Linked DNA regions of Nothobranchius furzeri. The protein of the gene in region 1 interacts with the protein of each later gene in a pairwise test. Links are inferred from orthologs where the notes say so. Each region holds a gene or a part of one and is shown on either strand. Other genes may lie near its edges.

Region 1 (5,257 bases):
AGGTGTAATGTGGCTACGTCGGTGTGTACCCGTCAAGAACCTGGCAGCAGCATTCTGAACAACCTGCAGCCGATTCAGGGCAGAGTCCGGAACACCAACGAGGAGGGCGTTTGCATAGTCCAGGCGAGAGGTAATGAATGCATGAATGACTGACTCCAAATGCCTCCGTTTCAGGATTCGTCTGAGGTGAGTAAGGCGGCGAAGCTGATAAAAACACGACCTCACTACAGAGTTTATCTGTGGGGCCATTGTGAGTCCAGCATCCAGCTTGACCCCGAGACTCGTCACACACTGTTTGGGGTTAAGGGTTAAAAGGTCACAAACAGGGTGAGAGCTATGGTGGTTGCGGGGGTCAAAAACAATAAACTCAGACTTCTTTTCATTCAGTTTTAAGAAGTTGGATGCCAGCCAGCCCTTCACGTCATCCATACATGCAGCCAATTTCGAGCCCGCATTTTTCTCGTCCATTTCCACGTATAGCTGACAGTCATCTGCGTAGATGTGGTAGCTCAGGCCATGCTGATTCAGGATATTGCCCAGAGGCAGAAGGTAGATTGAAAACAGCAATGGCCCAAGAACGGAACCTTGCGGCACCCCCCAAGGCAGTGGAAGACTGGAGGATGCACAGTCACCAATCTGTACAGAGATGGTACGGTTTGATAGGTAGGAGCGGAACCATTTAAGCGCCACCCCCGTCACCCCAACCCAAGACCCATGTCTCTCTCACGCCACACCCCCAATTTCTTACACTAAAAAGGTTAGTCTGTTTGAGCTACACATTCCTCTGGCTACTGCGCTACAAGTTCAGTTTTATCCATATATGGTTTAAATCATCGACATATATGTGACATATAAATTGACTTTATATGAGCGAGAAGAGGGAATTGACGCCCTCCAGCGGCGAAAAGCTAGAACAAATCTGGTTGTTAAAAAACCAATTGGAGAACATTTTACTTCTCTTATCGCAATGAAGCTGGAAAATATAATGCATTTTTGTCTCTTGTTATATATATATTTAATATATTAAGGAGAAGAAGGGGGAAACAAAGAAGATTAAGAACTTCACTCACAAAGTTACAATAGTTAATAAAAGCAATTCATTTAAAGGATTTCAAAATAAAATAAATACTGCAGCGATTTGGCGTTTGCGACAGAACCTCGCTCCAACAGGCTTTTCTCTTTTAATTTAGCTAAAAAAAATCGTATTATACTTACGTAACAATTTTTAAACCAATGGTTTTGTGCAGTGACGAAACGGCCATCAGGGTCACCGGGACACGAATGTTTCCCGTATTAGGTCAACTAGATGCGAATACGATAATTCAACCTGATTTTCGAGATTGAGAATTTTACTGCTCTCTGCTGGACGAACTTTGTTTCTACAAGAAGTTCATAACTATAACCCAGTGCATTAGTCATTAGCACTTCCTGGAGATTCCTTCAAAAGAAAACATACTTCTTAAAACTAAAACAGAGTTCAAATTAGTGTTAGCAGCACTAAAACTCAATCAATCTATTTTAATTACCTGCGTTCAACATAATCAAATTACTGAGCTAAAGCAGGAGCAATTAGCAGCTAGCTACAGACTAATGTATCATTTGCTTTTATTGAAAATTACATATTTGTGGATTGTTGATCTGTGATTTCATTTTTAAAAGACTGCCGCAACTAAAGCGCCCCCCACCCCACCTACACACACAAAATTTAAATAAATAAAATCTCACTCCAAGACTTTTTCCCTGATAATAAAAAAATCTCTGTAATATAAAGATAAAGAATGACAGACACAAGAGCAATATTCAAAATTCTGTTTATTATGTTTGTAATATTCTGAATAACAGTCCCTTGGATATCTGTACACTAAACTACAGTAAAATAATTACAGTGAATGTGAACTTTACAGCCATCAAAGCTGCACAGGAGGGACTACATTTTCCTAATCTCCCTAAATGTAAAACCACAAGAGGGGAACCACAAAAATAAATAAATGCATAAATAATGTGGTCAGTTGTTACTGAATTCGTAGACTTTTTGGTTTCTTATACAGCAGAAAAGTAAACAGGAAGTGAACAATTTGTATAACTAAAGATAGAAATCAACATGAATGTAAAACTTTTTATCTACCTTCTTAGTATAAGTATGACAGGTGAACCATCATTGATAATAGTGACATTTTTGTCTGTTTCTTTGAATAATAGTTCAAATTAGCAGATTTTTTTTTGTATTTAAGGCCAGAGATTTCTCTAGTCCACAGCTCAACTGGTTTAAAACTGAAATATATAATTTTCTGTGCCTTTTTTAAAACTTCATGGTGTTGACTTCACACAGAAGGGGCTATCCTATCCTCCCTCTAGGTCCAATCAGTGATATAATCAGACTTATTTAGTCTTCCTTCTCTAAATGCTTTTGCTCTTTTTATTACCTTGTGTAAATTAAATAAATAGCTAATTTCCTTTCAAGTGGACAAATGTAATAATAACTTTACTGAATCACTTCTAGCCTAGACCAATGCAAGTTACTACTATTTATATTTTCTTCATTTTTTTAAAATAAAAGTTGCACCTATATTTCTGTGCTATTTTCTTTCAGTTTTAATGAAATGTAAGCGTGCCATTTGGTTTAATTACTCTTTGACATGTAAATCTATCCTTGTCCAGGAGACTGGAGTATGTACAAAGCTATTGAAATGCTCTATCTACATCCAAGAAGTGTTTCCATCTCTGTGATTGTTTTCTAGCAAACAGAAACATCAGTGTGTCTTCAGCATCTAGGTCACTGTGGCTCGACGCTCAAGCCCAGATCTGAAAAAGGAAAAAGCAGCAATCACTGCAGAAGTCACTGAAACTTGAAAAGTTATCTCAGAGGTTACAAAAAAGTCTCATACCCGAAGAGTGTGATCCCAGGATCCTGTGCAGAAGGCCGTACCATCGGGAGAGACACGCAGCGTGCTGACACGGTTCTCATGTCCAAACAGAATAGAGACCCGTGTTCCTTTGAGAACATCCCAGACGTTTATAGTGTAGTCGTTGTACCCACCAAACAGTAGCCGTCCTGTTAAAATGAAAATACACACAAATCTTTTCAGCGATCTTTAAAAAGTAATAATTGTAAGCAAAGAAAGAGCCAAGATCCTCAATATTTAAACGTGTGGTTCCCTGAAAATTTTTTTTTTATTATTTCTGATTATAAAATCGGTCACTCCGAGTTTTCATGCAGGCTGAACATGAAAACTGTCTTCACACCTACCTCCTGCATCAGCTTCTGATAGAAAATACAGCGAAATGCTAGGATCTGAAAATCCTCACATATCTATGTCACACTGGATTTGTACTCATGGCCTCGCCCATCTTGGCTCGCGCCCACTCACAGGAGGGCTTTCGTTTGTTTTGTTGTTGTTTTTTTCCAACAAGGAGAGAGAGCGGAGAGTGTCCTGGTGATGGTGACTTTTCAACACGGCTGAACACGTTCTGTGAGCCAGTCAGAACTGAGGTGTGGGCATATCATTAATAATAATGAGCAATCCAGCTGTTTTCAGCCCACCTCTGCACCAGTAAACTTCTGCATCTCAGAACAGAAGCAGCATAGCTTTTTTTAAATTTAAATGACTCATAAGGCATTGATTTATAATAGAGAACACTGCAAATGTATTGAATAAACAAGTACACCACACCTTTAAATAATATTGAGGATCATATATTCAAAAGTAGTATTGAAGGGAAATAATATCATACCACTGAGTGAGAAATCAACACTGGAGACCCCAAATATGATGCTATCTTTGGAATAAATAGCCACTTCTCTATCTGCCCTCAAGTCATAAAGCCGACACTGAAACAAAAACAACCGATTTCAGTTTACTTGAAAATGTCCCTTTGAGGTGTTTAACAGTTTAACTTACTGTGGCATCATCTGATCCAGATGCAAAAGCATCTCCACTTGGGTAGTATCTATTAGAAAAAAATTGGGCTACATTATAAAACAAAGTCAGTCAGAATAGCAATCACGTTTTTTCTGATCAGGACCGTGACTCACCGCACGCTGTTTATGTCTGATTCATGAGTTTCAAAGGACTGAATGCATTGTCCTGAACGCATGTCCCACACGTTAGCCTTCTTATCGCAGCCCTGCAGAAACAGGAAAGATTAATGCGACTCCGGCAATGAAAATCGTCCAACATTTAAATAAGCAGCACAGAGAGCATGCTCACCCCTGAAACAAAAGTGTTTCCTGTCTCAGACGGAGCCAGGTCCAGACACAGTACGTCTGCTGCATGTCCATGGAAACTCTGCAGCAGCTGCCCACTCTCAACATCCCATAATGCACATGTTCCATCACCACTGGATGTCAGGATCTTTAATACAATCAGACAAAGAGAGGAAAGGTATATGCTTACTTAAGATGATGGTGCTACGAGAGTAATGGGGTGCTGATTGTCAAAGTCCATCCATCCATCCATTTTCATCCGCTTATCCGGAGTCGGGTCGCGGGGGCAGTAGCCTAAGTCGAGAGACCCAGACTTCCCTCTCCCCAGCCACTTGGGCCAGCTCCTCCGGGGGAATCCCAAGGCGTTCCCTGAGACTAATAGTCCCTCCACCGTGTCCTGGGTCTACCTTTAGGTCTCCTCCCGGTTGGACGTGCCCGGAAGACCTCACCAGGAAGGCTTCCAGGAGGCATCCTGACCAGATGCCCGAGCCACCTCAACTGGCTCCTCTCAATATGGAGGAGCAGCGGGTCTACTCCAAGCCCCTCCCGAATGACCAAGCTTCTCACCCTATCTCTAAGGGAGAGCCCAGCCACTCGTTCTCTCGGTCACTACCCAAAGCTCATGACCATAGGTGAGGGTAGGAATGTAGATCGACTGGTAAATCGAGAGCTTCGCCTTCTGGCTCAGCTCTCTCTTCACCATGACAGACCGGGACAACGCCCGCATCACTGCAGATGTAGCACAAATCCACCCATCGATCTCACGCTCCAGTTTTCCCTCACTAGTGAACAAGACCCTGAGATACTTAAACTCCTCCACTTGGGGCAGGACCTCATTCCTGACCCAGAGAAGGCATTCTACCCTTTTCCGAATCAAGACCATGGTGATTGTCAAAGACATCAAAGTAAATTCAAGAATTAACCTCTAAACTTTATTACATGAAGCTTTAAAAAACGACATTAAAAATAATAAATATTTAGATTCAAGTTTGTGTGAAGCTATATTTAAATACCACTATAAATGCATACATTTAGCTGACATTCAGATTCTGA
Region 2 (6,275 bases), on another chromosome or scaffold:
GACCTGGTTGAACACACACACACACACACACCTTTAAACATGACACGAGGACAAAAGTGGATGTGTGTTGAATGTTTGTGCCAAGATGCTGTCGCACACTTCATCGTGGGATGTCAGCAGTGATGTTCCTTCAGCTTCCTCTGAGGTGACCTGAAGTTATTCTCTGTGGCTCTCTTAACCATGATGCCAGAAGTTTCCATAGGACCACACAGTGGTTCTCTTGGTAACAAGATCAGACATTCGCGAGACAAAGTGGACGCTGTCACTGTCCTGGTGTGGTGTGTCATTTGACAGTTATGTTAACATTTAGCATGAGTTAGCCTAGTTCCAACACTCATGGGTTTAAGATGTTTTACCCTGAGGGTATCTATTAATAATTACATAAATAATGCAAAAGCATCAACACTAGAGCTAATCCAGTGACACAAATGACTGAAATGGCTGTGCATGGATTCACATAACATTAATAATAATATTGATGGAATAATGTATTGAGCAGTTTTCAAGAATTTTATTTTCATTTATTAAATGTTCTGTGGTGATATCCCATTAAGTGTACCGTGCTGTTATTGCTGATGTTTCAGGCTAGAATGTTGGGTCCATGAAGAACAGAAAAGAAATCAAGCAGGTTGTCTCCAGACTTCTGAAGGTCCCAAAGTGACATGGAGCTAATTAACTTACACTTAATTAATGCTTATTAAGTAAAATGTATGGGAAAAGCTAATTAATTTGGATATTTATACTACATCACACACATCTGACTTATATTCCGATGGTCTTCTATGAAGATACTATATAATAAAATAATAATAATGTAGCTGAGCATTCAGACTGTTTTGTAATAAATAATTTTTTTAAAGAAAGCTATGCTTAATAGAGAAAATTATGGGTTTTTCCTTGACAAAAATTATTATTATTGTTATTGTTGTTGTTGTTGTTGTATTCTGTTGCAACAACAACAACAAAATGTCAGTAAAAATGGGGAAATGCTATTTTTTTCTCGCAAGCACAGAAGGGAAGATGTATATTTTATGGAGACACTTTCCCATTATCTAGACTTACTATGCGACGCTAATTTAAAGACTGTAGAAATTTAAAAGTGGTATGTTTTATTTTGAAAGGATTTACAGGAAATGGTAATCAGATATGTCTTGTTTGTGAACACTGTAGTAACGGGTTATGTCCGCCAGAGGGCGAAAACATATTTACGCTCAAAAAAACAGATATTGAGTTGTTTCCTTCACGTTGACTTAAATGATACATAAAAATCCCATAGAGACATAGTTTGTTGCCACCATTAAGTTAAATGAATGATTTCAAGTAAATATAATAAAGGTTTATTTAGAAAAATAGTATTTAAAAAAACTGAGTTTTTATTGTTGTTTTTTTTATCCTAGTTTATAAATTTATTGTTAGATCAAAAATAACCTTTTTAAAAACATTTCTATGTCCCCCGCTGGTCTCCCGTGTTTTTAAATCCAAAATTTGACAGGTCTCCTCTCCTCCTCCGTCTTGTAACAAGAAGTTCAAGCTTGTCGCCACTGGAGGGCACCAAATCCCCCTTCTCACTCATGTAAAGTTGATTTAAAACTGGGTTTGTAGCGCTGTAGATATGCGTGTTTACAGTGGCACGATGCAGAGTAGCTCAGATAGTTTCACTTTTTTCAGCTTGAGAAATTGGAGGTGCGATTTTAGAGCGTGTGAGACAGTTTAATGCGTGTGTCTCACGCTCATTTGCGTGAGAGTTGGCAGCCCTCTGCTGCTACTGTTAGCGACGTGTCTCGGTGGACATCTTTCCTCCACAGTTGGTCTGAAAGCGTCGTGAAACTCACAAAACGCACTCGTGCTACCATTTATTATCCATTCATTGCACTAATATTCACACTGGCTCAAGCATTTTATTTAAGTAGTAGTCACTCATCTAAATACATGAATAAACCTGTGAAATTTAAATGTGATGTACACTAGAGTAGTAGACTGCAGCAGTCCCCATGGCAACGGAGGAGAGGGAGCGAGGGCATCACAGAGCATCACATCATAGCCAATGGGGCTCGTTCTTGAGATTTGTGTGTGAATCTGTTCATTGCTGAGAATTAAAACCACGCAACAGCATTGAACATTTTGATTCAAGACCGAAATTAAAACGATAGAAATTCAATTTGGCAGCAATTTCTCCAGCAGAGATATGGTACAATCCACCCACATAAAACAACCATCTCTAATGTCATCCCTGCCCCTCCCTCCCTCCGTCTGGCAGGCACCACTCACCGTTGAGGGGGGATTCCATCCATCCACCACAAATCTGGTGCTCATTGTGGCAGAATTGCAGTTCACTGGACTGTACAGAGCAGGGTACCATCCAGGCTGTTCTCTGTGAGGGGTGGGGTCCGGCTACACTGACACCACCTAACAGAGGCTCACAGAGAGAAGGGGAAAAGGACAGGAACCAGAGCGAGAGAAGAAGGGGGACGACAGCACCTGAAGAGGAATATAATACGGGTAAGGAGGGAAGGGGGATGGAGGGAGAGGGAAGGAGACAATGAGGAAATGTCCAGAATGGGTGAAACAGATTTGCTCCTGTGCCTCTTCGCTTTATTCCATCCCTGTTGACAATCCATCTGACTCAATCCCCTTTTTATTTTGTCTTTGGTATTTTTTTATTCCATCGTTCACATTAGGTCATCCCTCACCCATCTAAATGGTTTCTACTTTTACATCTGATTGTTCTGTGGATGTGCTAGCTGATCATGGGGGGAATCAGTGGGCCATGTTGGAGAAAATAACCATTTGGCCTAGTTTATGTTTCTTTTAGCTTTTCAAAAAACATACAGCCTTTTGTTCCATTTGAAGATGACAGAATCCTGTTGTGCCGATTCAATGACACATGTTCATCTTTATTCCCAGAAACTGCATGCATCTATACCTCACAACCAGCTGTTTAAATCTCAATCATCTAAACATTTTTAGGATTAACTCTTATTGAGTAACACAAACCAGCAGTTAAGTATTTTACATTGTTAGCTGAGCAAACGACTACTTTGCCAAATGCACCAAATCAACCTTTTGATGTGCAACAGAGCAAAAGGGACCTACTCAACTGCAATGTTTAACCATAAATGTTGATGCTCCTGTGGCTAGGATGAAAGGAGACACCCCAGTCAACAGCACCATGAGCGTGGGCCAAGCCAGGAAGCTGGTGGAACAACTAAAGATCGAGGCTAGTTTCTGCAGGATAAAGGTACGTCCAGTTTCAGACAACAGGACAGGGAAATGTCTGGTGGATTATTCTCATCTTTTCAAACTTGGGCCACTGGCAGGTCTTCCTTCTCTTTGATGCTCCTGATGTTGTCAAAGACACCTTGCTGAAAGTTTCATCTCTTTATCGCAACAAATTAGAAGTATGAGGGGAAATGTAGAAATTAGCTGAGTTTTCACTTCAAAACAACACGTTTCATCTCTTAATCATATTCGCTCTCAATTTATCAATCGTTCCTACCCTCACCTATGGTCCCGAGCTTTGTGTAGTGACCAAAGAACAAGATCACAGATTCAAGCGACCAAAATGAATTTTCTCTACAGGGTGTCTGGGCTCTTCCTTAGAGATAATGAGACGTTTGTTTATCTGGGAGGGGCTCGGAGTAGACCCGCTGCTCGGAGTAGACCCGCTGCTCCTCCACATCGAGAGGAGCCAGTTGAGGTGGCTCAGGCATCTGGTTAGGATGCCTCCTGGACGCCTCCCTGGTGAGGTTTTCCGGGCACATCCAACCAAGAGGAGACCTAAAGGAAGACCCAGGACATGCTGGCAGGACTATGTCTCTCAGCTGGCCAGGAAACACCTTGGTATTCCCCCAGAGGAGCTTGCCCAGGTGGCAGGGAATTCTGGGCCTCTCTGCTTAGACTACTGCCCCCACGACCCAACCCCAGATAAGAGGATGATATTAGATGGATGGATTTATTTTTATTCACATTCCTCCGAGCCATTCTGACATACAAATGATGACTATGCTGTTTGGCTGTTATAAATAATGTATAAACTTATCAGCATGGTTTGAGCTACATGAGCTAAATATGTAGTATTGGGGGCTCCTATGGGCTTCTAGGTATTTTCATGACTAACATGGATTGAACTCAGACAGAAATAAATGGATATTTTCTCAAGTAACCTGAAATCAAAAGAAGCAGTGATATAAATGAAAGAATCTCTGGATGTAAAACATCACAGTGAAACATTCTGAAAAACTCTAAATCAGATTGTTTTTCCTCCAGGTATCAAAGGCTGCAGCCGACCTGATGGCGTACTGCGACGCACACGCCTGCGACGACCCCCTGATCACCCCGGTGCCCACCTCAGAAAACCCCTTCAGGGAGAAGAAATTCTTCTGCGCTCTGCTTTGAGACAAATCAGGGATTGATGTGATTCAAAGTACAACTGTACAGTATGTACATGTTTGTACAGTGTGTACATGTACTTCCAACCTAAGTAAGACATTAATGTACCATAGTAACCTCCCATCAGAGCTGCCACTGTACAGTACATAATCAACTACATGTTAAATCCTAAAAGTGATTAGAGGGCGGGACAATTTGAGACTAAACTCAAGATTTGAACAGTCAAGTTTCAAAGTAAAGGCTAAAAACATAAAAAGCCATCATGTTCCATGCTTGAATGCTTCAAGTAACTGCTAAATATACGCTGATTAAATTCAATTTTATGTGGAAATCCTTAGGTTCCGGGATAAATGTTAAAGCAGCAATCCGTAGTGTTCAGGCATTACGTAGTTTTTTAGAAATCTGTAAAAGTGATACGTCTTCTTTTGCTAAGCCTACTTCCCTTCCCATAGAGCTTCATGCAATTTGAATTGAGACCACTCAGCATTAGCCAATAGCGTTAAGCTTAATTTATACTCCTCCGTCGGTACAGAGACACGTAACGCCATTGTCCGTCATCACAAGGGCTAGCCAACGAGCAAACAAGGACGGATGGAGTAGAGCCCACTTTTCTAACTATCCATCAAAAACAGTGAAGATCGCAAGCCTATGAGTGGTCAGAATGCCGCTTACGTCCTTCGTCAACAGCACCACTTCTGACTGAAGGAGTACAAAGAAACGCTGCAAACTTTATTTGTGTAGGGAAATTACAAGAAAAGTGAGTTTAGAGGTGGTGACTGGATGAAGAAGTGGAGGGCAAATATGTTAAAAAGTTTCTGAAATATATAAACACACTAGAGACACGACTATATTGATGGCAGGATACCCCAGATATGTGCTACGCCCTCTGTAGTCCTGGCGGAGTATTGCTTTACAACACTGACACCAACGGAGAAGTATTAAAGGAAACGTCTTTATCACTATGTGTCTGTTGCTGCTGCCTCTTGGCCAGATCGTCATTGTAAACGAGGATTTCTCAATCGACTCATCTGGATAAATAAAGGTTGAGTAAATATGTGGGCGTGTAAACACAGACTTACTGATGGAGATGTAAAAAATTAGTCTTTGGACTTCTGCGTATGTATAGATGTCAATCACAGAGCGTGTGCGCGTGTTTGTGGACGCATCTAGACTGATGCAGAGTATGCAACATTTCTTATGGACACTTAAGTCTCTATAAATGCATATAAGCATCAGTTTGCCTGGCTAGAGGTACAAGTTCATAAATGAGAGGCATTGCTTCCTGCTATAATCACGGAAGGGGAGGGGCTTTAAGGTGCAATACATGTTTCCACCTGTAGATGGTGCCATTTACAAAACAAACTCCAGATTTCTGCTTTAAGTCAGGGCCCCAGATTTCAAACTCCTTGTAGATGGAAAATATTACCCAACAGACATTCATTGTCATTTTTAGAGTGGGGTCTAACCTTTTATTTTTTAAAACCAATTCCTATTTTCTTGGTGATTTTAGCAGTTACTTGTATCAAACCACAACAGCTGGTAATAACCTACAGATGAAAGATATTTCTTTAAAAGATTTTCTCAAGATTTGAGCATTTTTGCCAATCCGGTTACTGTCGTTTGGAAGTGGACGTGTGTGTGTGTGTGTGTATGCATAGGTGCTACTGTGAAACTTAAAAGCAACAATTCTGAGCATTTTATCCCTGTAAATTTAACATTTCCTTTAAACACATTATTCAATGACACAAAGAGCCCCAAAGCAACACTTTTCAGGGGGTACAGACATTAAAGCTAGTTTATTCCACGCAGCCATCAGGTTCTTATTGGTGTATTGAGTGAACTCTTCGATTCTTTAGGGGGCAGAATAGAAACAACAGTTTCAATGT

The links.
Region 2: the proteins of gnb5a (region 1) and gng3 interact in a two-hybrid assay, tested with the Homo sapiens proteins (2 studies listed by BioGRID, with this or other methods). The link is inferred for Nothobranchius furzeri from reciprocal best matches to the Homo sapiens genes GNB5 and GNG3.

What each region holds. Positions count from the first base shown.
Region 1 is NC_091744.1:64,507,760-64,513,016, reverse strand, and holds the end of gnb5a (guanine nucleotide-binding protein subunit beta-5a), read right to left. Parts: intron 4,353-5,257; coding exon 4,209-4,352; intron 4,126-4,208; coding exon 4,034-4,125; intron 3,949-4,033; coding exon 3,900-3,948; intron 3,830-3,899; coding exon 3,733-3,829; intron 3,053-3,732; coding exon 2,886-3,052; intron 2,803-2,885; coding exon 2,791-2,802; 3' UTR 1,795-2,790; downstream 1-1,794. UniProt on the Homo sapiens protein: Enhances GTPase-activating protein (GAP) activity of regulator of G protein signaling (RGS) proteins, such as RGS7 and RGS9, hence involved in the termination of the signaling initiated by the G protein coupled receptors (GPCRs) by accelerating the GTP hydrolysis on the G-alpha subunits, thereby promoting their inactivation.
Region 2 is NC_091750.1:53,593,830-53,600,104, forward strand, and holds the start of gng3 (guanine nucleotide-binding protein G(I)/G(S)/G(O) subunit gamma-3), read left to right. Parts: upstream 1-2,321; 5' UTR 2,322-2,499; intron 2,500-3,138; 5' UTR 3,139-3,139; coding exon 3,140-3,238; intron 3,239-4,266; coding exon 4,267-4,395; 3' UTR 4,396-6,275. UniProt on the Homo sapiens protein: Guanine nucleotide-binding proteins (G proteins) are involved as a modulator or transducer in various transmembrane signaling systems.